Linked DNA regions of Rattus norvegicus. The protein of the gene in region 2 interacts with the protein of the main gene of each other region in a pairwise test. Links are inferred from orthologs where the notes say so. Each region holds a gene or a part of one and is shown on either strand. Other genes may lie near its edges. The genes, in order: Dcp1a, Fhl2, Banp, Ccdc92, Jup, Zfp131 and Sp2.

Region 1 (3,839 bases), on a different chromosome or scaffold from region 2:
TTGGCTGGGTCTGTGGACCAGGTTGGCCTCGAACAGAGATCCACCTGCCTCTGCCTCCTGAGTGTTCCCACCTCCAGATCAGCCAGTGAAAGTCAGTTTTACAGGACTCTAATTTGAAGGACTCAGGCTTATGCCACATGGTAATCAGGCGCATCAGTCTCTTGATTTCCCCCAATGACTTGTAGCAATACAGAACTGTCACAACAGCAAAAAGCAGAATTGGACTGATTTTATATTAAAAATTCAGTAAGCGTTCTTTTGAAGAATTTCCCCTTAATGGAAATTTAACATAAAACAGCCATTTGTAATACTACACCCTTTCTTACTAGTTCACATAAATCCTGAGCTTACAGGTATTTAATAATGTGCCTTTAATTTTTATTTTTTTTATTTCTGAGATAGGAGCTTACAGCACAGGCTGCCTAGCCCCCAACCTACTAGGGTTATTAATGTATACTATCATTCCAGCTCAACAAGTGTCTCTAATAAGCCTGTAGGATTTAAGATCCCAGAGGTATTTCCAGTGTTAATCCTGAGAAATGTTTACGGAAAGTGAAGACATAGATCCTACTTTATGTAGAAACTTAAACTGAGCAGGAAATGCTGGGCGGTGGTGGCACACGCCTTTAATCCCAGCACTGGGGAGGGAGTCAGGCAAATATCTGTGAGTTCAAAGCCAGCCTGGTCTACAAAGAGCTCCAGCCAAGGTGTCCGGCTTTCTAAATCACCACTCTGTTTTGATATCCCTCCTGGGTCAAAAACAAGCAAACTGTCCCTGTCCTCAGTCACACTTCTAACATCATACTGGACTATCAGAACCCAATCTAACCCAAAGCACATGGACACTAAGTATTCTTCTGAGCTATACCCTTGATCTTCAACTATACTTTTTTGTTCAGATGGTCCCATACTCAGGATAATCTGATTTAAGATTTTTTCTTTTTTCTTTTTTTTTTGCTTAAAAATGTTATGAAAGGGGCTGGAGAGATGGCTTAGTAGTCAAGGTCCTGAGTTCAATTCCAGCAACCACATGGTGGCTCACAACCATCTGTAATGGGATCTGATGCCCTCTTCTGGTGTGTCTGAAGACACTACAGTGTACTCATACATTTAAACCTTTAAAAAAAACTTTAAAATGTGTTATGAAAGTAGTGTGTACTGAGTGAAAACCACAGTTAGGACTGTACCTTCCCCTGGGATAGGAACAGAAGTAACACCGTGGGCTACTCCCCTCAGTACTGTACACCATCAGCCAGCCACAGTTCCCAATCCCGTGTGATCACTTCGGGGACAACCGATACTCCACAGCACACTGTGCTGCTAAGCTCTGGAGTCCAGCAGCGTAAGTACATCAACAAACTCAGTTTATGAGAGCTCTACCAGCAAGTAATGCCACTGTGAGGTGAGGAACACCTATACTCTTCTCAAAAGGGCTACCCTGAGCTTTGCTGACTAAATTCAACAGCTATTACAACCTGTAAAAATGCTTGACAAGACCTTGGGCTAGGAATTCTCCAACTAAGTGTATTGAGCCTTGTAACCACACCTGCACGTCCTGCACAGACTCCCCATCACTAAAGCACAAAAGCTTTGGCATAGTATGTGTACCCACTGGATACTATTAAACTAGTAGGTTGAAAAGTGGCTGGGGTATATGTACACACATACATATACACGTCGTACACAGAGATTAATATATTTAAAACAAATTTGATCTTTTACCAAGACATGCATTTATAATGTAGGCCATATTTTGTAGATTTTGAAACTCCCAAACCTAGTGTTCTAAAATTAAAGTCACTCTGTTAAATGCAAACAGATATACTCACAACTTGCATTTCTATACAGAAGAAATGGTTCATGGAGCTGAAATTCCAAATCTTTATTCACTGGTTCAACCAGATTGTGCATGTTCAGTCGGTTGACAATGGTAAAGCCATGGTAAGGCGAAGCTGACCTTTGATTTAAAGAAAGAGAACATGTGTTACCTTTCAATCTGCAGAAATGTTATCTACTCCTTTATTCTCATTAAAAAGAAATTCCTAGTTACATCATATGACAAGATTAGTATCTAAAATCATAAGCAAAAGTACAAGGCTGGGGATATAGCTCCATGGTAGAATGTTTGCCTACCATGAGCAAAGTCCTGGGTTTAAGCCTCAACTCTTAAAACAGAAAAAACAAAAAAACAAAAAACAAAAACCACGAAGTCAGACATTTCCCTCTCTGCACCTACGTCTTCATAAGGACTTAATTACTTAGCATAAAAGGCTAGTCATCACGGTTCCCACCCCATGTCACCTCCTGTGAGTCTTTCCCGCTTCCGCCACACTGGGCTCCCTGCCACTATCTGCAGGTCTGTTTCTACCTTAAGACCTCTGTCTGTACTGCGGCCCCCCAAACTGGTACCAGCATCTCCTCTCCGGCAAGTATTTGCCCAAATGTCACTTTCTCACCCCAACCCCCATCTCTTGATGTAAGCTCGTAATAAATTGATGCTGGAAGAAGTAACATTTTTTTCTTCAGTTTTTGAGACATGGTCATTCTGTGTGGCCCTGGGCTGCCCTAGAATTCTCTCTGTAGACCAGGCTGGCCTTGAACTTGGAAATCTACCTGCCTCTGCCTCCCAAGTGTAGGACTAAAGGCATGTGCTGCCAGTACCAGGTTTTTAAAAATATGGTACAAGTCTGTCTATGACTGCCACTCATTACAGCGGTAACTTTCCTTACACTAAATGGTCTTTGTATGTTTTTCCCGAGTTCTACAGTAAGAAAGCTCTAAATTTCTGAACCAAGGACATTCAACACACAATCCACTGAACACTCCTCAACCTAACACTTCATAGTTCACATTTGTTTCTGTAATATCACAGGGAGATAATGAAATCCTGTTCTCCAGATTCAGAAACAGAAGCAGAATTAAGGCTCATGCCCAAAGTCACACAAATTAAAAACTCCAAATCCAGTTTTCTTTTTGATTCCTGCAAAGTAACATTATGACATTCTAGTGTATTTTTGTCCAACGTACAGAAAATGTTCTTCAGTTCCCAAATAGAGGCTCTTAAGCCTCCTTTTCTTAGACCAATGCTATAGTTTGTATGAATTGTCTTAAATGAAGTTACTCACTATACTGAAGTTCCCACTTTCTCCAATCTGTTTTATTCTTCTAAAATTAGACCTATAAATATCCCCAAATGTTATAGACATTATGCTTATTCCTTAAAATTAGAGCTATAAATATCCCTGAGTATACAGACACTACTGTTCTAATAATAGTTAGGGGTTCTTAGAGACTTATATTGTTAATGAAGAGGTTGGAGTTAGATCTTTTTTATTTTAGAGAAGAAAAATGAAGTAGAGAAAAGAGTATCAAAGAAAGAGGAGCTTGTCATACAAACCTCGAAATACTTCCATTTAAAGGAAAAAGTGTATTTAGACAAGATCACAACGTTCTACACTAACATTTACAATAACACTCCATTCTTATAAAGTGGTACCAGTGGAGGATGGCTGTCCAAAAAAGAACTCGGCACAAAAAGAACCAATGTCTGTAGCCTTGCTGCTACCGCTCAAAGTTCTAGAATAGGCAAGGGATTTGCCTCTAACACCAAGAGCTATGGGTACCTGGGAATACAAGGGTCTCATGACTTGTCTCATCCTGTGGGCCACCTAGGATGAGGCCCCTATGCTGCCAAACAAGGTAAAGTTGTCAACCTTTACAAACCAACCATTTAAAGAATTAATTTTCGGGGCTGGAGAGATGGCTTAGTGGTTAGGAGCACTAACTGCTCTTCCAGAGGCCCTGTGTTCAAATCCCAGGGTGAACTCATGGTGGCTCAC
Region 2 (4,577 bases):
GACTTCCTCTCTTAAGACTTATTTCTTATGTGTGGTATGTATCTGTATGAGCTTGTGCAGGTGTCCACTGAATCCAGAAGATGTAAGATCTCTAGAAGCAGAAGTTACAGGGAATTATGAGTTGTGAGCCAACTCAGACCCTTGGTAATTATTCTTAACAGCTGAACCATCTCTCTAGCCCCTAGACTCCACTTTTCAAAGGCCCTACCTCCCAACACTTACACAAGGATAACTAAACTTCCAACACGTGAGTCTTGGAGGAAAAAAATCATATCCAGATCACAGCTGGTTACAGATGGGGCAGGTCCCGAGGTGTGGTTTGAATCAGAAGGATGACATTGGCAAATATGTTTGACAATATGTTCACCAGGGAGTAGAACTCTTTGAAAGGATTAGAGGGATTAGGAGGTATGGTCTTGTTGGAGGAAGTGTGTCTCTGGGGCTGGAGCGTTGAGGTTTTAAAGCCTACGTCAGGCCAAACTCTCCCTGTGGATCACAATGTAGAACTTTCAGTAACTTCTCCAGCACCAGGTCTCCTGTGTGCCACCATGTTCCCTACCATGATGACAATAGACTAAGTCTTCAAAACTGTAAGCAAGCCCTTAAGTAAACGCTGTCTTTGATAAGAGTTGGCTTGGTCAATACATTGACTTTGACATGGTGTGTCAGGTTAGGTAGCCAGTTCTCAGTGCAGAACAGGGGTAGAATCCAGGCTTCTTGGCCTTCTGAGTTGTGTTTGTTTAGTTAGCTGGGTTTGTTTTTTGTTTATTCATTTATTTTTTTTAATATCCTGCTGGGCATTTCTGTCTGCAGTTGAGATATCACTCAGTATTGAAGTGGTTTAACAATCTTGGGTCAAAACATGTGGTCTAGGGCCTCAACAGAATATTCTCTCAATGCATCGTAGTAGAGAATAGAGGTCAGAACTCAGATATCAAGCTATCTGGAGGCAGTTCTTGGGGCCACACTCTACAGGCTGGGAAACTTTGGACATCAAATTATTTTGATTTTTCTATTTAAGTTTCTTTCTCTGTGAACAGGAGGCTTTAAAATCTACACATGGTGCTTATACTATGCAATAGTTATCTAGTTCTCTGGGAGGAAACTGAGGCCCTGATAGACTTGGCTCTGCTCCAAGTACATCTGCCAGCTAAGACTTCTATACCCATCCCTATCCTGCCTGGGAGGCTGGGCTGCAAGGAGGCAGAAGGAAAAGAAGCCACAACAGGGGTCCCCAACACTGCATACTGTTCTGTTAAAAACTAGGAGAGCACTGAATCTGAAAAAAGAATGAGGGAAAGAATGATTTAAATCTTGTTTTGTTTTTCTTTTTTTATTAAACTTTAGTTGGGTTGGGAATTCTAAAACTTAATGCAAATTGGTTTCTATGGTGGTGGGGCTTCGACGGGGAGGTTCTAGATCACTGTAGCTGCAGGATGTGGTAGGTTACTCCTGCAATTGCAACACGTTGGAGGCTGAGGCAGGATAGGCACCAGTTTGAAGCTACCTGGGATGACACAGTAAATTCCAGGCTTTCCTGGCTACAGAATGAAGCTTTATCTCAAACAACAACAACAAAACAATCCCCCCCACAAGCCACACCCACAAACACCCTTTCTCTATTGCATTACTGTGAAATTTACACATAAGCAAAGTAGCACCCCAACACGAGACACATTTAGAGCAGTGTTTCGAAGGCAACCTTGTAACTATAAGTCCAAATTGTAGTTAATTACTTCCCGAAATATGTGTAAGAAAGTTGGCTTTACCGAAGACAGCTGTATATTTCATAAAATGCGTTCTTTGTTGAGTTCCAGAGACACAACTGAAGATTATCAAGCAAATATGGCCATTTCTTCACTTTAAATCAGAAAAAGCATTTCAAGACTTTCTTTCCATAAGACTGAAATCTATCAGAATTCTTTTCATCCTAAAGAAGTTGTTTTTCTTTTTTAACCCTACGGCTCAGGTTTTAATTTGGGGGATTAGTCAAGGTGTGTGGTCACAGGCAAACTCCCACTTCTTCTCAAGGGAAATGCTTGGCCTTCCACGTGCTGACCAGCCTGTCACCTCCCTCCCATAGACTTCAGGAACCAGTTCCACTTCACCTCTGGGGGCTGACCTGTGGGCAGTTCATCGTTTCCCACCACCTGGCAGTGATCCACCTTTACAGGGCCGCCACCCTCCCTCTGGACACCAACAGTCCCTTCCCCACCATTTCCAAATTCGGCTCTCCTGTGCTCAAGTCCTCCAACACGCATGATTTTGGTCCTCTCTGCCCCGCATCCGTTCTTCCTAGGGATGTCTCCCAGTAGATCAACTCGCGGGTCCTGAGATCTCCCCTCAAGCCTTTCCTTCAGCCTCTGCCACATTTCCGATCCACCTTCTCCCCTTTCCCTCCTGACTCCCTCCGCTTCATTTCGGGTCATCATCCTGGGTATCCTCTGCCCAGCTACACTCTCCTCTCTCCCTGATCTGTCCTTTCCGTTTGGGGTCCCCATCCCGGGTGTCCTCTGCAAATAGGGCTCTCCTCCCGCCAGGATCTGTCCTCTCCGTTTCGGGACCCTACCCTGATGCGGTCTGCACAGCTCTGCTCCGGTCTCCTGGGTCTCCGCCCCGCGGTCCGGGTGCGCTGGCCACTGGTGTCTCTCCACGCGTCCTAGAGCAGCTGTCTGGTGGGGATCCTCGTGTTCCAAGCAGGGCTGTGGCCTGGGCGGCGCCAGGAGTACTCACACACGGTGAGGCCGGGGTCTAGGGGAACCCAGCGGACTGTGGACCGGTGGCGGCAGCGGCTCAGCGGGCGGAGTGCAGCCGGCGCTGCGCCCGCCCTCGAGAACCCCCGCCGAGTCATTTGACCATATAAGGACACACGCGCCGGGGCGGCGGGCTGGGCGCGCTGGCCTGGAGAGCCGGGCGCGGCGGCGAGCGCCCCTCAGCAGCCGGTCGTCGTCTGTTCCCCCTGCTGACGTTACCACAGACCTTTTGTTTGACTTAACCTTCTTCCTTGCTTCCTGGTGTTTGGCTTACACTGTCAACCATCGTTGCGCCCTGGACTTGGCTCCCGGGATTGTTGCTAGGCAATGCAGAGAGCTATAGCCACTGCCACCCAAGGGCGGAATGACACGGGACTACTAACACCAGGACCCTCCTCTGGGTTGCAGGGTCCCTGCCCGGTTGCAGCCTGGTGCAAGCATGGATGGATGGGTCGTTTGCAGATGTGGGGGAAGGAACTATGTGTGTGTAGCGCACACATTGGCATGGTAGTCTGTTGGGCCTTGCCTTGCAGACACCTTTCCATCATGGAATGAACCAAACCAATGACCTAGAGAATCATTAATGAGCCTGTTCCACCAGGGAGCTCACTGAGAGAAGGTCCTATGCTCAACACTCAGGGCTTGAGAGCTGTTGGACATTCAGTGGCTCCCTCCTGGCACAAAGAAAACGCTGGTCTTAATGTGGCCTTCACACTGTAAGCCAAGGTCCTCTGCAGAGTTGGTCTTTAGTAGGGACACGAGACTGTGTTGTGAGGCATGTGGTATCCTCACGCCTAGGAAAGGCAGCATCTGCTCTTGAGCAAATGGGTCCACACCCGGACAGGGTGGAAGATGGGCATGTGGAGAGGCAATGAAGGCCGGGGTTGGTGATTTCTCAGGGTCATGAGGTGACAGTTTATCAAGGGATTCATTTGGGTGCAGAGTCTATGAAAGGATATAGTTTGTCATCACTAAAATGGTATGGCCTCAGTAAGAATGTAAAGTGGCTGGTCACATTGTCTTCTCAGTCAAGAAATAGCGAGCAAGGAGACCTGGAGCTCAGTTTTCTTTGCCCAGCTCTAGAGAAGTGCCGTCCACTTTGGGAGCCAGTCTTTCCTCCTCAGTTAAACATCTCAGGAACTACCGCAAAGATTCTTCTAGAGGTGTGTCACCTAGGTGAGTCTAAGCCCAGTCAAATAGATAGTGAAGAACTATCACAGTGGTAGAAGTCGTGTGGGGTAGGCTTGTTATTTCCTCCATCCGAGGGGTGCTGAGGGCAACACATTTTCCGTTTAAGGCAGGAAGAACCGTGTGGTGTCTTTCTTCTGGATGATACTTCCTGATTGCTGTCACCAGAGGGTCTCCATGGTGGGACCTCAGAACTTGAGAGGCAAGGGAGTTAGGATAATTGTCCCGTAGTCAGCATTAGCTGTATCTGGCCTCTCCAGGGATCCTCGGCTCCTTTTGGTAAAGTTAGTTATCTCAATTAAATGGTGAGGACTCTAGATGAGGTGAACAGTTTCTATACCAGCTGAGATTGGCACTGATGTCTATGAGGTGGCAAGGCCATAAGAGTATCTTAAAAGATGGGAAATTCTTAACTCCTGTCACTCTCTCGGGAGTCTCCCTGGAGTTAACACTTTCCTCAGAGGAGAGTGAGCAAGCTGGGGTTGGACACAGGAAATCCATTCCCCTCTTGTCCTCATCTTCCAACTGAGGGTTACCCTAGCTAAATTCCCACTAATGGTCAAGGCACACTCTATCTTAGATTCAAAATAAAGGGTACGTAGACAGACTAATAGTTCTGAGGCTGCTAATGTTTAC
Region 3 (3,839 bases), on a different chromosome or scaffold from region 2:
TGGCTGAGGCCAGTAGACCTAGACCCAAGTTCCTTCTCTGAGAACCTGGAAGGGGTCATTCCCAGGACTTCAGGGAAGGAATCCCAAAGTGCCTTCCCCTCAGATGTCTGGCCTAGCAGCTCCGTAAGTCCTTCTAATGCCTGTGGCAGGCAGGCCTCAACAGCTCCTGGGAGAAGTAAAATCCTGACCAGCCTACGGCCAAAGCCTGGTTCTCGGGTTCAGGGGAGCAGCAACCTCTGTGAGAGCCTGCACTGCGGACTGCACCAGGCTTGGACCACACAGAGGAAGGGGAGCTGCCAGTGCCAGCAAGGTGTGCAGAGGAGGAGGGAGACTTCACATGGTACAGAACCGGACTGTTGAGTCTTCTGCTCCTACCACGGTCACCTGCCCTTGCCGGGCCGAGATCAGAGGAGCCCACACATTCTGACTTTAGGAGTTCAGAGTGAACAGAAGCTCCATGCCTCTGCCAGACCTGTATGCTTCTCGACAAGGGTTCCTAGTTCTAGGAATGTCAGTCACAGTCCAAGTTCAGTATCTACCAGGGAGGCTGGTGGGACTGAGAGGGACAGGACTCACCTGCGTTGCAGCCGTGTGGTCACTCACGGGCGCCAGCTGGACATACTGAACCTGAATGTCACTGCCCTGGAGAGGCGACCCATCTACTCCTGTAGCTGCAGGGTCTGAAGAGGCCACGGCTATGAGCTGAGCACCCTGCAGTACCTGGGGTTGGGGACAAAGCCAGGTTGGTCAGTGGAGCTTGGGTCAGCAGACCCCTATCCTCTTCTGGTTCAGAAGCAATAAGAGGCCCAGGCCCACAGCATGGATGTGAATGCAATGGAGCCTCAGTGCCCACTGCAGACACACCCACCTGACGTGCTGAGTTTTGACTGTCATGAAATCTGCCACATTCACACTTAGTCTTGCAGAAACACCCTTGTTACACACAGACATTAGTCTTTTAAAGCCCGTGTGGAAACCAATAAGCTAGAACTTGAAGACTGCACAGGCACACTGAAGACAGCGGGAGAGCTTAACAAACCCCGCACAGAGCCCATGTGGAGCCAATAACTTTAGATAGAGAAACAAAAGGAGAGGGAGGGCTGCAGTAGGTGTACTGCTTGTGTGCCAGCATGAGGACTTGCGCCTGGATCTTCGGTATCCACACACAAATCAGGAGCAGCTGGGTAACCCCAACCAGGAAGACTGCTGGAGGTGGATCACGGCCAGCCTAGCCAAACAGTGAGCTGCAGGTTCAGTGAGAAACCCTCAGGAAAAATAAGGTGAAGAGAGATGAGGACACCATCCACAAACACGTGCGCGCACACACACACGCACGCACGCACTCGGACACACACACACACGCACTCGGACACACGCACACAAAGAAGAAAGAAGGGAAGAGCTACTGTGGCAGGGACAGTGAGGGGCAAACAGGCTCCAAGGGGAGGGTGTGAGCAGAGACACCAGGGGCAGGTCACTACAGAACAGATCCTTCAGTCCTCTTTGCTGCATCCCTCCATCGTCCTGACCCTGCCTGACAGTGACCCTGCCTCAGAATGGATGTGGAGTAGGAGGAATAAGCTTGGGTGACTCCAGCTCTGGAAATCCATCCCACTGATTCACTTCCCACAAACTCCACCTGCTGCTCACACGACCGGGCAGGAGGCTCGAGGCAGGCAATACAGAGCCTCCATCTGCGCACTCACAGGTGCCCTTCAATCAGCCTTGGGTACTGCCCTAGGTGGGAAGGCCAGGGCGCCCAGACGTGCAACCCCAACAGTGGACAGAACCCCAGCAGTGGACAGAACTGCTGGGTAGGAAGCACATTTGGCATGGAGAGGACCACGTGAGGTTCCCCACAACCAGAGACAGCAGTACAAACTCACCCAGACAACTTCTAAGAAGAGCTGTACTTGTAAACAGCTAGCTTGACTGTCAGATGACATGTGCCCTTTTAAAGGACACACTGTAAATAAGGACAGTGTCTCTTATGCTAATGAGGGTCTGCCAAACCAAAATAGACCCAGGTTCACAGGCACTGGGAAAATATTTTTAATGACTTTAAAGTCCTTTTTAATATTTTTGAATAACTAAAAAAAAGTGAGACAACTATTTGGGGATGTGACTGCCGACTCATGCTGGATTCTAATAAGGAGAACTCCCAGCATTCCTCTGGGAAGCAGTCTATCTACCTCCTTCCTGGGGAGTGCAGTGGCTTCTGGGTCAATCTCACTTCCAGTGTGATTCCCCTCATCTATGGAGGCCTGACAGCCAAGAGACAACAGCAACAATAACAGCCTGTCTCTGCACAACTCTGGCCCTCAAGACACACCTCTCGAGCTGCTTATGGCTGCTCTTCTCTATGTCAACATGTGGGGATAGGAGGAAAGTTTCCTGGGCCTCACAGGAACCACACATTGGTCAGCTACCCCATGGGCCATGGTGATAGGCAGTGGGATGTTCAAAAACAGGGGAGCCAGTCCTCAGCCCTCTCTAGGTGCTCAATCCAGGTTAACTAAAGGAAGAAGGGTGTGCAGACACACATCTGGGAACTGGTTTCCAGGCAAGCTCAGAACTCAACATAAACACTTGCCTGCTGCTTCTATCCCAGATACCTCAGCGTCCCCTATTCCACACCCACTCTGGCACAGCTACTGCACAATGCCACTGGCCACTCCCTCCCTCTGCAGAGGAAAGCAGGGCAACAGATGCTGAGTTGCCCACAGCTGGCTGACAATAATGACTCCTTGTTTAGATAAAGCATGGCTCCTTCCAGCAGGAAAAGCCTGAAACAGGGTAAAATGATCCAATCTTATAAGCATCAGTGACAGAAGCCTCTAGATTCCTCCTTCACTCACTCTGACTTGCAGGCAAGTTCGTTATTTTTGCTAAGAACTACATTTCTCCAGGCATGGTGCTCTCCCTCATCTGACCAAGCAGTTCAACTTGAAACAAAACGGGGGATTTTACAGTCAGGAGACGGTAAACCGAGCTCCTGCTTGGGGACAGCCCTTGGTGGCAGACTTGGATGGAGCCCGGCTCTTCCAGACTCTCCATTGTATATGCTGGCCTGGGCCTTTCCTGGGTAGCCAGCGCAGCTTGGGACCTCTCCTCCCCTGCATTGCTCACCCAGCAGTCTTCCTGGTCTCCCTACTCAGCAGCTCCTGTGGATCTTAGTGGGTCCCATGGGCTCCTATGATAACCCTACAGGCTACCAAAGCCATCTCTAAGGACCAGTGAACACTTCCCTCCAGCACCTGAGTCACAGGAGCTTCCTGGTCTCACTGCCAGAACTTGGGCTCAAGCAGACAGGACAGTATCTATGGCCCACTGGTGCCTGTCTCCCCTGACCTACCCAGGGCCATCCACCAGGGTAACCCAGGTAGAGGCAAAGGGGGGCTCTCCACACGTTCCTTGAACAGCAGAATCAGCAGGCTTCAGAAGGAAGGAAAGGATACAAACACTAGAACTGCTCCAACGGCAGAATGACCCTGTGTCCAAGAGTGAAAGGCTCCATGGGGTAAGGGCTCTGAGCTCAACAGATGGGCCTGACTTGATGGCCATTCATCAAGCCATATGTCTTCATATGCCATCAACTGTTACAAGTATGCCTATACATGTCTTCAGACACCTGTGGTCATAGATGTGCACATGCACACATCTGTAAGTAAGGCACATGCCTGTTCACAGACACCTTATCAGCTCTGCTAACCCCTACCATGCACCTCTACTATGATGTCTCTGGCTGGCAAAGCAAGCTCTTAGCCTCAGGCCTCTGTAGGTATCCAGCATTGACAGTGGCAGTTACTGTGGCAGCCTCTGTAAGCCTGGGCTCAGTG
Region 4 (4,586 bases), on a different chromosome or scaffold from region 2:
TCTAGTTTTATGTCAACCTGACACAAGCTAGAGTCATCAGAGAGAAGAGAGCCTCAACTGAGAAACTGCCTCCATAAAATCTGGGCTTTTGGCAGGCCTGTAGGGCATTTTCTTAATTAGTGACTGATGTGGGAGGGCCCAGTAGGTAGGGCCACCCGTGGGCTGTTAGTCCTGGGATCTATAAGTAAGCAGGCTGAGCAAACCAGAGAAAGCAAGCCAGAGCACAGCACTCCTCCATGGCTTCTGCATGGCTGGAGGCTCCTGCCTCCAGGTTCCTGCCCTGCTTGAATTCCTACCCTCGCTGGTTTTGCTGAGAACTGTTATATGAAACTATGAATGGGATAAACCTCTCCTCCCCAAGTTGCTCTTGGTTACGGTGTTTCACCTCAGCAATGGAAAGCCTAACCAAGATGGCCTCCTTGTCCTTTCCTCATTTCAGTGATTCTACTTTGTAGTTTTGATTTACTTTCTGGATATTTAGAAACCATCCAAAAAACACTGACTACAACCACTTTAGGTAGGTATGACTTGACTGTTTTGCTATGAAACTTGATTCCTATTTGAGTAATGAAATAAAGCAAAATGCAGAGCAAGCCCAAAAGTCGTATCTTACCCATCTGTAATGTCCTCAGCTCACTTTTACAACTTGCTGACTCTTGGAACAATTGGCACTACCACCTCATTTTTAGCAAGAATGACTTCCTACAGCAATTATCTTGACTAGGTGGTTATTACAGAAAAGAAAAGCCAGAGAAGAAGTATCTAATACATGTCAAACATAACACTGACCGTGGGAGTGCTTTATTATTTCTAAGCCCCCAAAAACATGCAAAATGGGGTTCAAGTTAGCTCTGACACCAAGCAGAGAAGCCAGTCACTATCTTCCCAGGATTCAAGTAGGTGTCTGGGGATGTCAACATGCCCACAGCTCTAGAAGCTGGCAGCAGAACATGTAACAACAAACTCCACAGAGCTAGGAGGGAAACAAAGTCCTGGAATCCAGTGACCACCAAACCCTGGGAGACCCACCATCAGACCCCCCAACTCCCTCCACCCCTGAGTCCCCTCCATTCGTGCTGCACTGGGAGGGAGCCGGAGGGAAGAGCAGCCCCTTCCTTTCACTGCTGAACTTCCCCTGGTAATTCTGCTCTACAGCACCACCAGGGACGCTGTCTTCCTGTAAGTACTCAGTGTCCTCTTCCTTACTCGGAAAGACTCTAAAGCAATCAAATCCCTACTGCGTGGCAGACCTTCAAATGTCTGAAGACCATTAGGACACAGGTCTGTCTGTCCCTGCCAAATGATTCTGCGGGATCAAACACCAGACCTGCCTAGCTGGTCTGGGACTTGCATTTGCAGCAGTCTCCGTATGTTTGGCACTGCAGGGTGTCTTGCCCCTGCCCTCAGAATATATGAAGTCCAGGAGATAGTTAATCTTAGTTAATAAATGTGTCACCCAGTCTGCATTAGGATCTATTTATGGCTGACCTTGTTTTAGATAGGAAAAAAAAGCTGTGCATATCTTCTTGCCAGAAATATGAGAGGATGCTTTACAAGTATTTCTTAAAAGCATCGACATCATAATTACGTCAGTCCTGCTGCAAACACATCCTGACAATTAGATAATGAGGTTAAAATCGATTTCCCAACATAGGCCAGATGAGAGTTAAGAACTCAGAATGAGTGAGCTGCTCTAAACAAAGGATTCATGCATTTCTTTGAAAAGATTCGGCGTTGAAAGAAATGTCTAATTTCCAAAACACCTATTTGAGATGTTTAAGAGTGTTAACAGGAAAATTCTGGTCCGTGAAAGTCATTGTTCTATACTTTAAAATATAGTTAAATCAGGCCTGGGGCTAGAGCTCAGTAGAGCCCTATGTTCATCCTTCCATACTTCAGATCCAAACAGAAAAATCGAAACAAAACTGACTCATTATGCTTCAGAGGAGCAATCCAAACTATTTTAAGGCTTTTCAGTAGTGGTACTCATGTATACACATACAAAATAAAGAAGCACAAGTCTTAACGCCTTTCTTCCAAACATACTAGAATATTCAGCCATTTTGGTGAACAGTTAGCCAAAGAGAAAACATGAAAAATTGGAGGTAAAAGTCAACTGGAATGCTAGCATCTGAAAAACCTTACAATTCAATGGCGATAGAATGCCAGGGAATTCTTGGCTGTGCAAATAAAATAATACCAATGCTATTTAAATGAATTTCAAACTTAGTTTGTAGTCTGCGATCCTCGTTTTAACTAACCTACCTACCTTCCTTCCTTCCTTCCTTCCTTCCTTCCTTCCTTCCACACAGGGTGTCTCACCATGTAGCCTTGAGCTTGTCTGGAATTCGCTATCTAGTTCAGGCTATCCTCCAACTCGGAGATCCACCTGCTTCTGTCTCCCGAGAGCTGAAATCTAAAGGCGTGCGCCATCACGCCCGGATGCTAACACTCCTAAAGGTGTGTCCAAGCCTGTACTTAGTTATGAAACCGATCGGTGCCACCTGTCACGGGGCACGGTCATATTTTTCTCCTCCGGCACCTCATTGTCATCAGTGACTAGACCGTGCAGCTAAAGATACTTGAGGCTTGACATTAGCCCGCAGGGCCGGGTCGAGCCCGAGGGAACCGCAACCCGGAGCGCTACCTGCGAGCGTGGCCAGCGTGCGCGTCCGCGGGACCCGGGAGCTCAGGGCAGAGTACTTACGCGGAGCCACCCGGTCGCCAGGGCTGCGGGTCCGGGAGGCGGCAGGTGTGACGCGGGCGGGGAGCTGAGGCCCGCAGCATCCCGCCGGCGTGGGGCCGGACCCCGGGGCGCTGCCCCGCACCTGCAATGCGGCTCGTACCCGGCCCGGGCCGGCGGTTGCAGCCGTTGCGACGCGCCTCCCCCGCCGCGCCGGTGCGCAGCCTGGCTCCGAGCCCCGCGAGCGAACCTCAAGGATTCTTTATCAGCGCAGGTGCGCGCCTCACCTGCCACGGTCCCTCAGGCGGCTGCGGCGCTCGGCCTGCTCCTCGCGGTGGCCCGCGGCCCATGGGCAGGGACTGTCGGAGCCGGGTGCGCGGCGGCCCTGCCGCGCGGCACGGTCCTCAAGAGACGCCGCCCGGCCGGTGCATTCCGCACGCTCCCTCAGAGCGCTCGGCGCGGTGCACGCCGGGAGACGTTGGCTGTCCGGCTAGTCGCACCCGAGGATGTCTGAGGAGACGGTGCGGCGCCGACGCGACAGCGGTCTGCTAGTGAGAGGGGGCAGGGCCCGGGCGGATCGATGCTCTCTCTGCGGAGGGGAAAGGGGACGACGCCCTACTCCCTGCGGCTGCGGCAGGGCAAAGGCGAGGGCGAGGATGAGGGGGAAAAAAAGAGGGATGTTAGTAACACGCAAGCGCACTGCTCAGGTGCGGCCGCACTGCGGTTGCCCTGGGTAACCAGGGCGGGGTGGGGCGGGGACAACGAGGGGTGGAGAAGCCGAAAGGGAACGCGCGTGCGTGTGTGGGCGGGGACGCGAGCCGCCCGGCACGCATGCGTGCGGTGCCCTCCTTGTTCTCCCCGCCCCTCCCCGGGGATGGAGTTGGCTGGCCGGCCTGGCGCGTGCGCACGCGCGCCGTCCCCCGGAGGCGTCTGGGTGTGCGGAGCGCGCGCGCGCTGCTCGGAGGCGCACCTGTGAGGTGTCCCCTGAGGAAAGCAGGAGGCCGGTGGGCGCGCGGAGTCCGCGGCCTAGACGCGCTCCTCAGCCACACTTGGGAGCGAGTTGGACCGGCCGATCGTATTAGGTGTGTTTGTCTCTTTTGCCTTTTCAGGACGGGGCGTGGGCCGACGAGCGGGCTTGGGGGCGGAAGGCGGTAGAGTCGGGAGAAGCGGGGGAGTAAGGAAAGGAAAACAACCCATCATTCAGCCGGGCCTGGGCCGCGGGCATGGCGGGGAGAGAAGGTCAGCGCGGTGCCCGCTGCGGTGCAGGCCCTAGTCGGGCCGGGACGAAGCTGAAGAGGCCCCGCGGATGCTGGACTCCCGGGCCGGGCCCCATTGTTGTCCGGGCCGAGGCGGGCGTGAGCGCCGCAGCTCTGCGAGCCCAGGGCCGCGCCCTGGAGCGCATCCAGGCGGGTCCTGGGAGAGAGCGGTAATGGCCGCGCGCGCGGGCCGGGGCACGGGGCACGGGGCACGGGGCGGGGGCGGGGGCTCGCAGAGCGGTCCGCTGCATGGCTCTCTGTCATGTCCTCTCCAGCACTGCACAGTCCCGGCCGAGGCCGTCCAGCATCCCGCCCAGGTGATGAGGACCTCCCCGTGTCCCCAGCGCGCCAGGCTGCTGCTGCTGTTGCCGCCGGACGCCTCCATTGTCTGACCACCGCCAGGGCCGGGCCCTCGGCAGGTAAGCTGGCCAGTGCTAGGCACAACTCCCCTGCCGTCGCCGAGCACCGGCCTCCCCCTTGAGATGCGCTGGTCGCGACTCCAGCCAGGTCGCCGCTCTCCGCGAACTCGGCTTCTTTGTGAGACCTTTCTGGCCAAACTCCAGGCAAGTCGATCTTGGGGATGCGTCTGCCCGATCGGGAGTTTAGAGTGTGCCTGTTGCAACAAAGGAGCCCCGGAATCGGAAATC
Region 5 (4,600 bases), on a different chromosome or scaffold from region 2:
GCCAGTCAGGGCTGCACTTTGAGACCCTGTCATCAAAAAGAAAGGAAGTAGTTCAAGGTCAACCTCAGAGGCTAGCCTAGGCTACAAGAGACTGTCAAGAAAGGACGGGGGGGGGGGGGGGCGGGTTGGGGATTTAGCTCAGTGGTAGAGCACTTGCCTAGCAAGCGCAAGGCCCTGGGTTCGGTCCCCAGCTCCGAAAAAAAAAAAATTAAAGGACAGTGGGGGGATACAACTTCCATCCAGGGCCGATGATGGATCCCATGGGAAAGTGCTTGCCTACGTGCAAATCCACAAGGCCCTGGATTTGGTCCTTAGCAGCCAAAAGAAAAAGGGGAAAGAAAAAAGAAATCCTTCCAGAGTTGTAGTAGAGCCTAACAGCAGAATGAGGTCTGAGCTTAGCCCTCTCTTGAGTCTAGCAACACTGGGCAAGTTGCTATCCTTCCCTGAGTTTCTGAAGAAGACATTAAAGTGCGCCTGCCTCGGGCTGGAGAGATGGCTCAGTGGTTAAGAGCATTGCCTGCTCTTCCAGAGGTCCTGAGTTCAATTCCCAGCAACCACATGGTGGCTCACAACCATCTGTAATGAGATCTGATACCCTCTTCTGGTATGTCTGAAGACAGCTACAGTGTGTTCATATACATAAAATAAATAAATAAATCTTTAAAAAAAAAAAAAAGTGCGCCTGCCTCTGTGAGCATGGTTAGTGGCGCTTGGTACCAGACAGTCTTCTGGCTTTGAGTTACCATCAGTCAAGTACTTTCTGGGTAGCTAGGTTTATTAATTCCTGAGGTCGCTGAGCCAGGAAGGTGCTTTGACGCAGGCTGCACAGGTAAGGAGACACTGCTCAGGGATTCAAACTATCTCAGTCCAAGTCCCTGTTCTCAGAGCTGACCCCTTAGACTGTCTCCCTAGATCACTGTCCTTCTGTGGACCAGCCAAATGTGTCACCTTGTCCTAAAGCAGCTCTGCAGGACGACAGGCCTCCCTCTCATAGGCAATGACCTGTGGGCCCCCAGGAAGGAAAACAGTCAAGCAGGCCCCGCCTGACCTTCCGTTCCCACAGGCTGCATTCTCCAAGCTCAACCTTAGCAGGCCAGACGGCGGCTCCAGAGGGAATGGGGTGGAGCTCGGGTGCGGGGGAGGCTTCTGTCACCCAAGCCCAGACTTGATCTGGTGAGAAATGACTAATCGGATCCTACCTTTGCTTCCCCTCCCTCCTGTCCGTCAGAAGCCAGCTTGGGCCGGGCAGCTCATAGCCCTACTTCTTCCTCAGTACTGTCTTTTCACCAGAGCCACGAACCAGATTTGCTAAACTATTCATTTAGTTCACCTAATGACAATGCCTACCCCTCCTCCTCCTTGACACGGAGAGGACATGAGCCTAAAACTAATGCCCCCAGTTCTTCCTAGAGGTGGTCACACATATTTTACCAACCACAGGACCTAAGGCGAGATTACGGGGGATATGTCTCCCACCCCCACTCTTCTATTCACAACCAAGCACCACCTCAGCTTCCAGGAGAATCAGAGCAAACAGTGCTCACGACCCCCACCCCATCTTCCCTCTGCCCCCCCCCCCCGCTAGCGTTGTCATTCCTGCTCTGTCCCCCCAAGAAGACTGGACTCCAAATGCCTATGAAAAGGCCAATCTTCAGATTTGTACAGAAGAGTGCAGCAAGCCGAGTAGAAGTTGACAATTCCAGCTGGAGAGGAGCTCTCAGCACAGGGAACCAAGGGGAGGGCTCACACTGTTCACCCTGAGGGTGCCTGGCATGGCAGAAGCCTTCCATAGCAAAGACTTCCTCCTGTCCCACTTTCCCCGCCAAACACTCAGTTAAAGAGTGGGTGGAGGAGGGACTTCTGGCAAGTCCTCTAGAAAGGACGCACCTTCATAATTCAAACCCAGTGAACAGCAAGCAACATTCCTGCCCTATGCTACCCTGCCTCAATGGTCAGCCAGCTAAATAAGCTGGGGGATGGAACGGGGGAGTTGGGGAAAGATTAATCACTCTTCCCAATCTTCCTAGTTTGGCCCAGCCCTGCCCCAACCCCATTCCTGGGGAAGGGGCAGAGCTTGGGAGGAGAGGCACTTAGCAGGCCTCATATAAGGGGGTGTGGTGGTCCCGTGAGGATGCGAAAAGGGAAGGAAGAAGACACTTCCCTTTTCAGCAACGCCCCCACCCACCCCCATTGGTCCCTACCTCGGGCCTTAGGGGCCTAGCAAACAGGATGGAGGTGGGGGCAGGGAGAACCGGGTCAAAGCGCACAGGCTGTGTTCAGCTTGGAGCTGACCAGGGAAGAGGCTTTCCTCTAAGAAGTACCACCAAGCCTTGAATCAGCTCTCAACAAGGAGACGGGGAAAATCCTAGAAAAGGCCCCCACGGTTACTTTCTCCTGGAAAGTTTGTTTGGAGTGATTTCTCAACAATAATGGGTTGCAGAAATCAAAAGATATCGCTGTTTCCCTACCAACACTCTGGAAACCACAAGCTACTAAAATCTGGGCGAGTGTTTCTTAATTTTCTCTACCGGCCCAGACTCCAGGCCATGCCACCAGGTCAGACAGACATCGGTAGGGCACTGAGCCCAGACCCTTCACCAGTTCCCCCGTCACCCCATCCACCTCCGTAAGAGAAGCCATAGACCGGCGTACACTAGAGCGGAGGGAGGCGCCACAGGTCCAGCTCGGAGCTACAGGGCAGGGCCTCGGTCCTCCAAGCGCTCACCTGCTCTGCTCAGCAGGTGGGAATCGCGTCTCTGGGAAAATGTGCACTCGGCCCCCACAGTTGGGTAAGCTGGGCGCAGACAATAGGGCCCCACCCAGGCCTGGGGGAGTAGGGAGGGAGGGAAAGCGAGGATGACGCGTGGGGTGGGGTGAGGGTGGCCCCAAAGAGACTAGGCAGCAAGTTTCCCGAGCGGTAAATTCCTGTCACCGTGGGATCTGGGACCAGGCGGAGCGGGTCAAAGTCTGCCCGGTCAGCTCCAGGGGAGAGTCAGCGACGCCGCGTCGGGCAAGCTCCGCGGGCCCTGGGGGAGGCGCGAACTCCGAGGCACCTGCCCTAGTTCCTCCCCGCCCTTCTCAGACCTGCGGTTCACCGAGCCTGGAGGGGCGCTCCAACCCAGATCGCTTGTCCCAGGGGTCCCGTGCCCCGGACCCCAGTGCGCCCCCTGTCGCTGGTGTAGGATGCACTCCCTGGCACCCGCCCTCACCTGCCCTGAAACCGCTGGAACCAACCTCTCGGCCGCTTGCCCTACTCTACCCTCAGTGATACGTACCCCTATCCGGTGTACCTGAGCGTGGAGCCGGGCCGAGCCGGGTCGGGGTCGGGTCTGGCCGGGAGACAGCCGGCGCAGGCAGCGAACTGAGCTCGGGGCGCTCGGGCGGCGGCTGCTCCGGACTCTGGCCAAGGCAGCAACTCAGTAACCGAACAAAAGGCAAAGGGACCTGACAGCCAAGCCACACCTCTCGCCCCCTTGAAGCTCCGCCCCCTAGGGAGACTCCCACCCTCTGAGGTTATCTCACTGGCTGCCCAGCCTGACTATCCTATTGAGGGGCGGAGCCTCACGCCGGGACCTCTACCACGGCCGCCTCTGTTTATGCGCTCACCATTGGCCCCAGGGACTGCCAGTCGACTCTGGGGTGGACGCCAACTTGAGGTCTCATCCTCACTCTGCATCTATTGGCAAATAGAAAGTTTCTTCCTTATGATTGGACAGAGGGCTGTCAGTAAGACTAAGGCAAAAGCCAATGGAACAGGTGGGGCGTTACTTGCCCCACCCTAGCCCTGAGCAGGTAAGACTCATTATTCTCCCCTTCCCCCTACCTGTCCAACAGGTGAGTCAGGGGGAAGCATGGGAAAGGACTGACGCCTTCACTAGCCAGCCAACTCAGCGTCAGGATTATTCATTCTTGCCTCAACATAGTAATAAGATGTTTGTAAAGCATTTCATAGGCTTTGTGCTAGGTTGGGATTTCTCCCCCTACAAAAGATGGAGTGTTCCCGGTTCTCTTCTGTTTAGAATTAGAAGGCCTGGTTTGGGTTCTCCCCTTAATCTTTGTATGACCTTAGGCCAGCTAGTATACTTTTCACCCTGTATCTAAGTGGGTTCATTAGCTTTATCTATCTTGGGTTGGAGAGATTAAATAAACTTTGTAGCTTAAACAGCTGAGGAATGTCAGTATTTAAGCCAGTGAGATGGTCCGTTCGAGACAGTTCTTAAAAAGTGCTGGAGCAGGCAGCCAGGCAGTGGTGACACGGGCCTTTAACCTTAACCTCGGCACTCAAGGAGGCAGAGGCAGGCAGCTCTCTGAGTTAGAGGCCACCCTGGTCTACAAAGAGGGTTCAAAATGATCCGCATTAAGAGAATCTTTAATGGGCTTGTGTGATGTCTCAGTTGGGCAAGTGTGATGACCTGAGTTTGATACCTGGTGGAGGTAGACCAAGTCCAAAAGGTTGTCCTCTGTCCCCTGATCTCCCGCCTTGGCACAAGTGCCACACACATAAAAGTAAATACAGTGTAATGCGATTTTAAAACTAAGCTCCAGAGATCGAAAGACTAGGAAATGTGGTGCACTGTAAACTTGGACACCTTATTTTAAG
Region 6 (3,631 bases), on a different chromosome or scaffold from region 2:
TTAAAATGTAAATTATCTCCCAGTATTTAACAGGTAAAGAAAATAGCATATTGATTTTATGTGGTTGTTATATTTTTATTTTCCAAGTAATACTGATTAAAAATATTTACACAACTACTTTTAAGTCCACAGTTTAGCACTCTTATTTGTATGGCTTTAAAAGTTATAGCACAAAATCTTTACATTAAGGATTGGGGGGAAAAGAGTCCACTCAAAACAAAGCCTGATATATTATATACATACGTTTCCTCTGTACTTTATTTAAATACATTAATTTTAAAATGATGCTCAGCTAATCTTTTCCCATCTGGTGGTAAAATACTAGTGCAAGTTCTCATCAAAATAAAGTTTACCACAGATGGAAATGAATTTTTTCCATTGAAAATGGCCCTTTAGCCGCCGTTAAATGAAAAATTTTCAATGTAACTTAAAGGAAAATGAATTGGTAATTGTCATTTTAAGCAAAAATACCAAGTACCAGAGCACTTTATGCTGCTCTTTAAAACACAAACTTTGAAAGAACCAGAGATGTTTTTCTGAAGTTTTGTTGGTTTTTGAAAAGGCACAGGGTGGTTTTTTTTTTTTTTTTTTTTTAACATTCTAGAAATTCTGCCACCACCGTTTCTGTTGTGGGGACAGCATTTGTAGCCACTAGTTAGACAAGAATGTTGTTCGAATTAAAGCTAGCCCCCAACTATTAACTGCACAGTAACAATGCACTTCCCTCATGCAGCCTTGTGTTGCCTACATACTCAATTTTTAAACATGCATTAGAATACAAATGTATGTATTCTAATGGTTTTAAGTATGATTTTATAATATGCAAAGAATTTAAGGAGAGACATGACCTGGGGAAGAGGACACGGAGACCCTTACCACAATGAAAATAGATGCATTCGGACCCAACTATATAATAAGAATATAATTCATTTAAGTTACCAGAAATATACTTCTCAAAGCTCCCACTCATTATGAGGAATATTCCCACTCTGTGGCATTAACTGGAAGGACATCAGCCTGTTTCCATAGAAACAGTTCAGCACAACAGAAATAGCTTAACTTTGGTCCACTTATTTGATAGCTTACGATCACACTGCCCATCAGTTTACCCCAAATGTAAATTTAGAAATATCACTGCTATTTCATTCTAAAACGGGCATAGATGTCCTGTCGTGGTCCACTTTTACAGCGTGGGAGTGCTCTCCTGGTTTGGTCTCCAAGCCCTCAGTGTCTTCGTACTCTTCCATGGCAGCATCTGCATGGTTAGGTTCGCTCTCCTCTTGGCTCATCATTTCGGGGGTCATGTGATCCAAGTCAGCTTCTAGAAGCTCAGTTTGTACTTCCACTGGCATCTGATTGACCCGTTCGACGTGAAGCTCTTCAACGTGTACTTCAGTACCTTCTTCAGTCTGGATCCGACCCACCTCCAGGTAACTCACCTGGACCTGCTCTGGAAGCGCACTCATTTGTGAGTCATGCACTTGGCCGTCTTGGAGCAGATCTGGATGAACTTGTTCCACAGTTACTTGTGCAGAATCCACTTGGACCTGAAGCAATGGTAACACATGCACTTTCCCAACTTGTTCTATAATAGTCATTGATGTCACTGGTTCCGTTTGTAAGTGTGTTTCTACTGAAAGGACTTCTTCAGTCACTATACGCTCTGAAATATTGTGAGCATCACTAAGATGCCTCCTTAATTCATTTCCTTGCATAAACCACAAGTCACACAGAGTACAATGGTTGGGTTTATCTCCAGTGTGTATTACCAAGTGATCTTTGAACTGGTCCCAGCTGTTAAATACACTGTTACAGACCTGAAATCACCAAACACAGTATGTTAATGATAATTGTAATCATACTGAAGTAAATGCGGGTACATTTATTCTCTATAAAATACACTAATGGGTTGAAGTTAGTTCAGTAGTATCTGCCTAGCAATCACAAGGCACTATACTGGTTCTAATCCTAACAGTCAACAAATACAATAACCAAATAAAACAAAAAACAACAGCAAAGAAATCCTCACAAAGATACACTAATACGGGTTGAATGGTGAACGCATAACTTAGTGGGGAAAGTACTTGCGCAGCATATGGGAGGCCCTGTGTTTAATTCCCAGTACCAGAAAACAAACCAACCAATGACAAAACACTACCATCCACACAGGTAAGTTATTACAGAACCATTTTAAATATAGTTCCCAGGGCACCTAGTGCAAAGCTACTCACACACTTGGTTTCACTTGACCTTTCAGCCCATACACCTAAAACTGACTAAATCCTGGGAACACTCCAGCATTGCTCCTGTTAAATATCCAATATAAAGTGCCAATATCATAGTTTATCCCACAGTTTCAAGATTTAGACCCATTACACTATTTGGAAGAAAAATTTATTGATCATGGAAAACACAGTTCTATCTTTTTCTGCCTTTCCTGCCCCTCTCCCAGAAGCTAATGACTGTTCCTAAGGGTAAAAATAATTAACTGTGGGCAGGTGAGCTGGCTCAACAGGTAAAGGCAGCACTTGCCACCACGTTGGGAGACAATCTCTGAGCCCAATCCCTAAAATCCACGCAGTGAAAACAGCACAAACTCCTACAAAGTCTCCTCTGATGACAAAGCACAGCTGTTAGTCAATAAACATAAACAAACACCCAACCTACTGTCCCCAACCAGGAGTGGGGTGCAGGCCTCCGCATTTAGGAGAGACAGGAGGTAACCATAATTCAGCTACAAAATCAGCCTGGCCTGGAATAGGACAGATTGCCTTTTTAAATTAAAAAAAAGAAAAAAGAAAAAGAATAAGAAGGAGGAGGAGGAGAAAGAAAGAAAGAAAACCACCTACCAAACTTGACAATTTTGTCAATATTGATCATCTAGGGCTGCTAATAACTTGTATTAAAACTTTACTTCGGTCTTTCTGAGGCTCTAGCTTTCCTGAGATGCTGATATACCACTGCGATGTTGTGTCAAAAAAGCATTTGAGACCCCCTAACCTACCCACACTATAGGAACTAAAGGCATGCCCAACCTTTTGACACTGCAACAGGAGGACATTGTCATCTTCTAAGTTTACATGCAAGAGCTGTACAAGTTAAAAAACAAAGCCCCTTACTGTTTAAGGGATTTCGGTTGTTTTGGCCCATATTCATAGCTGTTCTGGGGCGCATGAGAGTATCGGTTTTATCCAGTATTTTGAGTGCATGCTTCTCTAGGAGCTGAAGCTTGCTGCTTACTTACTGCCCAGAGTCACAAGAGAAGATCCTACTGGGTTTCACCAATTCAAGAAAAGATCAGATTTCAAAATTCCAGGAATGGTTTCCAATGAACACATAGTGTTTTTTGCTTTAACGTCATGTCAAAATCTTCTCAGTCAACCCAACGAGTCAAGGACTATTAATTATCCAATACTCTGCACTTCTAATGACTGTAGTAAGTTCCTCTTATGAAAACAAAATATACCCACACATACCTGGCATTCATAAAGCTTCTTCCTTCCCTTTTTTGCCCCTACTCCAGTTTGGCACGCAGTGAGGTGACATTTGAGAGTGCTATTTCTAGCAAACCGCTCGTGACAATTTGAACATTCAAAAGGTTTTTCACCTATTATAAGAAAAAAACACATTG
Region 7 (3,839 bases), on a different chromosome or scaffold from region 2:
TCTGCAGTTATCATGTGGTCATGTGACTTGCTATCTCACAGTAAGGACCAACTGTGAAGACAATACACACAGATGTGCCCTGAGGCAGGAGGGGACCAGGCAAACACCAGGCATCATCTCGGATGGCCAGCATCCTCATGGCTGACACTGGAGATCCCAGGGGCCTGGCTGGGATTCCCATAGGCTGAGTGCAAAGCCCGGCTGCAGGGCCCTCCTGGCTTCAGGACTCTCTCTCACCGCCAGTGTTGGTGATGGTGACAGGCACACCCTGGACTTGGACACCATTGATGTTGATGGTCTGCATGGCCTGAGCAGCTGCTGCCAGCTGTGCAGCGTTCAGGCTGATGATGCTCCCAGCAGGTGCAATCTTTGGCAGGGGTCGCTCTTTTCGGAGAATTGCAGCCGAATGCTTTTTGCTGGAGCCACTCAGATGGGGAGCTCGGAGCGCCGGGCTGCTACAGGAGACGGTTGACGTGGTTGCAGCTGTTGCTGGGGGGCTGTCCTGGACAAGGACCGTCTGTACCTCACCAGAAGGTGTACGGATATAAACCTGAGGGGCCAGAGAAAAGAGTTGGCAGCATGACCTTGTCCAAGGGAGGGCTGGGACACCTCTGTCATCTCATCAAGCCCAAGAACATATTTATGCACTACTGATGCTTGACAAGGCCAATGATGCCCTACACTAAACTGGCATGAGTGGTCACTGACCTGTAACCCAACCTTTACTCTGCTTAGCATGGAAAAATATTAACTGCTAAATCTCAAAATCGGAAGACTAGTAAAAAAGCACAACACCAGCATGGGCTACGGTCACATGGAGGCCAGCTTAACCACAAAGCAAAATTATCTTTTAAAAGGAGGGGGCTGCAGAGGTGGACCAGTGGCTAAGAGTAATGGCTGCTCTTCCAGAGGTTCCACATTTCCCAGCACCAACAATGGCGGCTCACAACCATCTGTAATGGGATCCACTGCTCTCTTCTGGTGTGTCTGAAGACAGCTACAGTGTACTCTCATATATAAAAATAAATCTTAAAAAAAAAGAAGGGGTTAGGGATTTAGCTCAGTGGTAGAGAGGCCCTGGGTTCGGTCCCCAGCTCCGGAAAAAAAAAAAAAAGAAAGAAAAACAAGTTCATAATTAGATATAGAGGATCATTGCTTCTCTCCTTTGTCAGGCTCTGCCACTGTAACTGTCACCAACAATAGGACAAACAGAACTCTTGAACTGCTTTGGCACAGCGCACACCCTTCTGTGAGCACGCTCATGGGAATGTCACATAAACTCAAGGACATTTTGTGAAACAACTGCCTGTGGCCTTCGAAAGCAGCAAGGCCATGACTGTCAAGGTAAAAAGTGCCGATCCTCGAAGCCCTGGGTTAAACTCCAGCTTCATGGTGGTGGGGGTGTGAGGAACTATTCCTGAAAGAGAGATTGACCAGAGACGTGTGACTACTGTACATGAGGTGGACAGAGCCCATGGGCAGTGCTGGAATTACTAAGCAAAGCATGCAGGAAACCTGAGTGGTGCCTCCCCATTGGACACCAGCATTTCACTAGTGAGTTTCAGGCTTGATGGATGCGATGTGTACAGGGACTGTGCTTGTGTGGGAGAATTAAAGCACTTGGAAGTGGGAGGACGACCATGGTGGCAGTTTATGCTTAAATGATCCAGGAAAAAAAAATCCTTTGTAAAACTGTGATTTTAATTGGGGATATTTTTAATTCCTGGTTACTGAAGACTGCTTTTAGTTAAGTGACAACATATAAACCTGCCATCCCTCAATACATACAGAGGCCTCATATCTTCCCCAATCTGTAGCATGTTGCCATGTACTCATTCTTTCTGAGGTAGTAAACAGGCTCACTAACCGGGGGGCGGGGGGGGGGGCGGGAGGAGAGGACCTGTCCGTTTCTGTCTTCCCTTTTGCTAAGCTCTGACAGCCTGAGTCAGGTGGGGGGTCGCTCTCCTTGGGTGGGTGCTGGGTGCTAGGCACTGCTTGATTTTTATTACCATGCTGTGTGGATGTGTTGTCTACATGTCTGTTATCACATGTGTGCAGATGGAGACCACAAGAGGACGCTGAGTCCTCTGGGAGTGGAGTTACAGCTGGTTGACAACCAACATGTGAGTGCTGGGAATCAAACTTGGAGCCTCTGGAAAAAGCAGCCAGTTTCTGAACCATGACCCAGCTCTCCAGCCCCATGATGAACATTGCTCAAGTCTGCTAAAATCACTGGGCCTGGTAACACACATGTCAGTCCTGCCTCAGCCTTCTGAATATGGCTACAGGTGTGCACCACTGCACCTAACTCAACTTTTTTTAAAAAATATTTTTAATATTTATTTTATGTATATGAGTACACTGTTGCTATCTTCAGACACACCAGAAGAGGGCATCAGATCTCATTACAGATGGTTGTGAGCCACCATGTGGTTGCTGGGAATTGAACTCAGGACCTCTGGAAAGAGCAGTCGGTGCTTTTTTTTTTTTGGTTCTTTTTTTCGGAGCTGGGGACCGAACCCAGGGCCTTGCGCTTCCTAGGTAAGCGCTCTACCACTGAGCTAAATCCCCAGCCCCGCAGTCGGTGCTCTTAACCGCTGAGCCATCTTTCCAGTCCCTGGGTCAACTTTTAAACGTTCATTTGAGCACTCCTTCTCACGATCATTTCCCAGCACCAACAATCTGTTGGCTCACAACCATCTGTAATGGGATCCAGAGACACTGGGGAACGGAGTTTGACTCCCACGGTGCTGGAGTCTCCTTTACTGCCCTGTCTGCCTTGAGCAACCTTAGGCTCTGTCTGTTCCTGTCTGCTTTACAGTGGGCTGAGCTGGTAACAGAAAGGAGCAGCAACTGGGCATGGTGGTGCAAGCTTTTAATCCCAGCCCTCAGGAGGCAGAGGCAGTCAGATCTCTGAGTCTGAGGCCGGCCTGGCTGGAAGGAAGGAAGGAAGGAAGGAAGGAAGGAAGGAAGGAAGGAAGGAAGGGGCAGCAGACATTGTAAAGTGACAGGAGCAGCTGCGCACAGCTGGCAGGGCAGACTACAAAGCAGCAAGGTGGCGGTCACTTGGCAGCTAAAAAGACAAGAGTTGAACAGCTGGCAGAATGGCCAGCTGCCTTGACAGCTGCAGAAGTAGAAGCAGCTGTGAACGTACTCCAAGAAACCAGAGGTCATCATGTTGAGTGGAATGACAGGGTCGGGAAAACAAGTTTGTTTTCTCCTTCAGGAGGAGTCTAGACTGAAGGGGAAAACGCATACTCACATGCCCACGTGCACACACAATGAATGAAGCACAAGAAACCATCTCTCAGGGAGAAGCAGAGGTGGAGAGAAGCAAGGATAGAGCTCACTTGTAATCCCAGCACTGAGGCTGCAGCAGGAGGATTCCAAGTTTGAAGCCAGCTTTGGCTGTGCAGTGAGGTAAAGGCCTACCTGGGACACAGGGAGACCCTGTCTCAAAAAAGGAAAAAGGTCTGGCTGCACCTGTTATTTTTCTTGTCATTAGCAGTGGCCAGCATTTTTTTCCTCCTGAACTTTCTTACTTTACACCAAATTCTATGGTTCTGGCTCAAATTCTCACTCTTGCCGTTATATGTAATCTTACAATAAAAATACTTTATTATGAAAGTATACATATCTAGCCTGTTATGGCCCCAGAGCTACTCCATAAGGAAAGAAAAAACAGACCAGTTTTCCCTGTTCCATCTGCTTTCTACAGAGGGAACTATGTCTACTTGGCCTAAGACCTGAAGAGATCTCAGGGCAGAAGCCATTTCCTGCCACCCCAAATGATGGTGACTCCAGCTTCCCATCAGATCTGCTGCTGATCTGCCTCTGTT

Evidence for each region.
Region 1: the proteins of Fhl2 (region 2) and Dcp1a interact in binary tests that used the Homo sapiens proteins (3 or more experiments, as listed by UniProt). The two-hybrid records come from large-scale screens. The link is inferred for Rattus norvegicus from reciprocal best matches to the Homo sapiens genes FHL2 and DCP1A.
Region 3: the proteins of Fhl2 (region 2) and Banp interact in binary tests that used the Homo sapiens proteins (3 or more experiments, as listed by UniProt). The two-hybrid records come from large-scale screens. The link is inferred for Rattus norvegicus from reciprocal best matches to the Homo sapiens genes FHL2 and BANP.
Region 4: the proteins of Fhl2 (region 2) and Ccdc92 interact in binary tests that used the Homo sapiens proteins (3 or more experiments, as listed by UniProt). The two-hybrid records come from large-scale screens. The link is inferred for Rattus norvegicus from reciprocal best matches to the Homo sapiens genes FHL2 and CCDC92.
Region 5: the proteins of Fhl2 (region 2) and Jup interact in binary tests that used the Homo sapiens proteins (3 or more experiments, as listed by UniProt). The two-hybrid records come from large-scale screens. The link is inferred for Rattus norvegicus from reciprocal best matches to the Homo sapiens genes FHL2 and JUP.
Region 6: the proteins of Fhl2 (region 2) and Zfp131 interact in binary tests that used the Homo sapiens proteins (3 or more experiments, as listed by UniProt). The two-hybrid records come from large-scale screens. The link is inferred for Rattus norvegicus from reciprocal best matches to the Homo sapiens genes FHL2 and ZNF131.
Region 7: the proteins of Fhl2 (region 2) and Sp2 interact in binary tests that used the Homo sapiens proteins (3 or more experiments, as listed by UniProt). The two-hybrid records come from large-scale screens. The link is inferred for Rattus norvegicus from reciprocal best matches to the Homo sapiens genes FHL2 and SP2.

Annotation. Positions count from the first base shown.
Region 1 is NC_086034.1:5,666,178-5,670,016, reverse strand, and holds part of Dcp1a (mRNA-decapping enzyme 1A), read right to left. Parts: intron 1,958-3,839; coding exon 1,830-1,957; intron 1-1,829. UniProt on the Homo sapiens protein: Necessary for the degradation of mRNAs, both in normal mRNA turnover and in nonsense-mediated mRNA decay. Removes the 7-methyl guanine cap structure from mRNA molecules, yielding a 5'-phosphorylated mRNA fragment and 7m-GDP.
Region 2 is NC_086027.1:52,920,520-52,925,096, forward strand, and holds the start of Fhl2 (four and a half LIM domains protein 2), read right to left. Parts: upstream 2,808-4,577; 5' UTR 2,570-2,807; intron 1-2,569. UniProt on the Homo sapiens protein: May function as a molecular transmitter linking various signaling pathways to transcriptional regulation. Negatively regulates the transcriptional repressor E4F1 and may function in cell growth.
Region 3 is NC_086037.1:66,985,906-66,989,744, reverse strand, and holds part of Banp (protein BANP), read right to left. Parts: intron 721-3,839; coding exon 577-720; intron 1-576. UniProt on the Homo sapiens protein: Controls V(D)J recombination during T-cell development by repressing T-cell receptor (TCR) beta enhancer function. Binds to scaffold/matrix attachment region beta (S/MARbeta), an ATC-rich DNA sequence located upstream of the TCR beta enhancer.
Region 4 is NC_086030.1:37,455,909-37,460,494, reverse strand, and holds the start of Ccdc92 (coiled-coil domain-containing protein 92), read right to left. Parts: upstream 2,820-4,586; 5' UTR 2,708-2,819; intron 1-2,707.
Region 5 is NC_086028.1:85,824,319-85,828,918, forward strand, and holds the start of Jup (junction plakoglobin), read right to left. Parts: upstream 3,112-4,600; 5' UTR 2,726-3,111; exon of another isoform or gene 2,653-2,725; intron 22-2,652; exon of another isoform or gene 1-21. UniProt on the Homo sapiens protein: Common junctional plaque protein. The membrane-associated plaques are architectural elements in an important strategic position to influence the arrangement and function of both the cytoskeleton and the cells within the tissue.
Region 6 is NC_086020.1:53,457,921-53,461,551, forward strand, and holds the end of Zfp131 (zinc finger protein 131), read right to left. Parts: exon of another isoform or gene 3,608-3,631; coding exon 3,477-3,607; intron 1,818-3,476; coding exon 1,143-1,817; 3' UTR 574-1,142; downstream 1-573. UniProt on the Homo sapiens protein: Plays a role during development and organogenesis as well as in the function of the adult central nervous system. May be involved in transcriptional regulation as a repressor of ESR1/ER-alpha signaling.
Region 7 is NC_086028.1:82,440,853-82,444,691, forward strand, and holds part of Sp2 (transcription factor Sp2), read right to left. Parts: exon of another isoform or gene 3,719-3,839; intron 3,421-3,718; exon of another isoform or gene 3,227-3,420; intron 2,289-3,226; exon of another isoform or gene 551-2,288; coding exon 238-550; exon of another isoform or gene 1-237. UniProt on the Homo sapiens protein: Binds to GC box promoters elements and selectively activates mRNA synthesis from genes that contain functional recognition sites.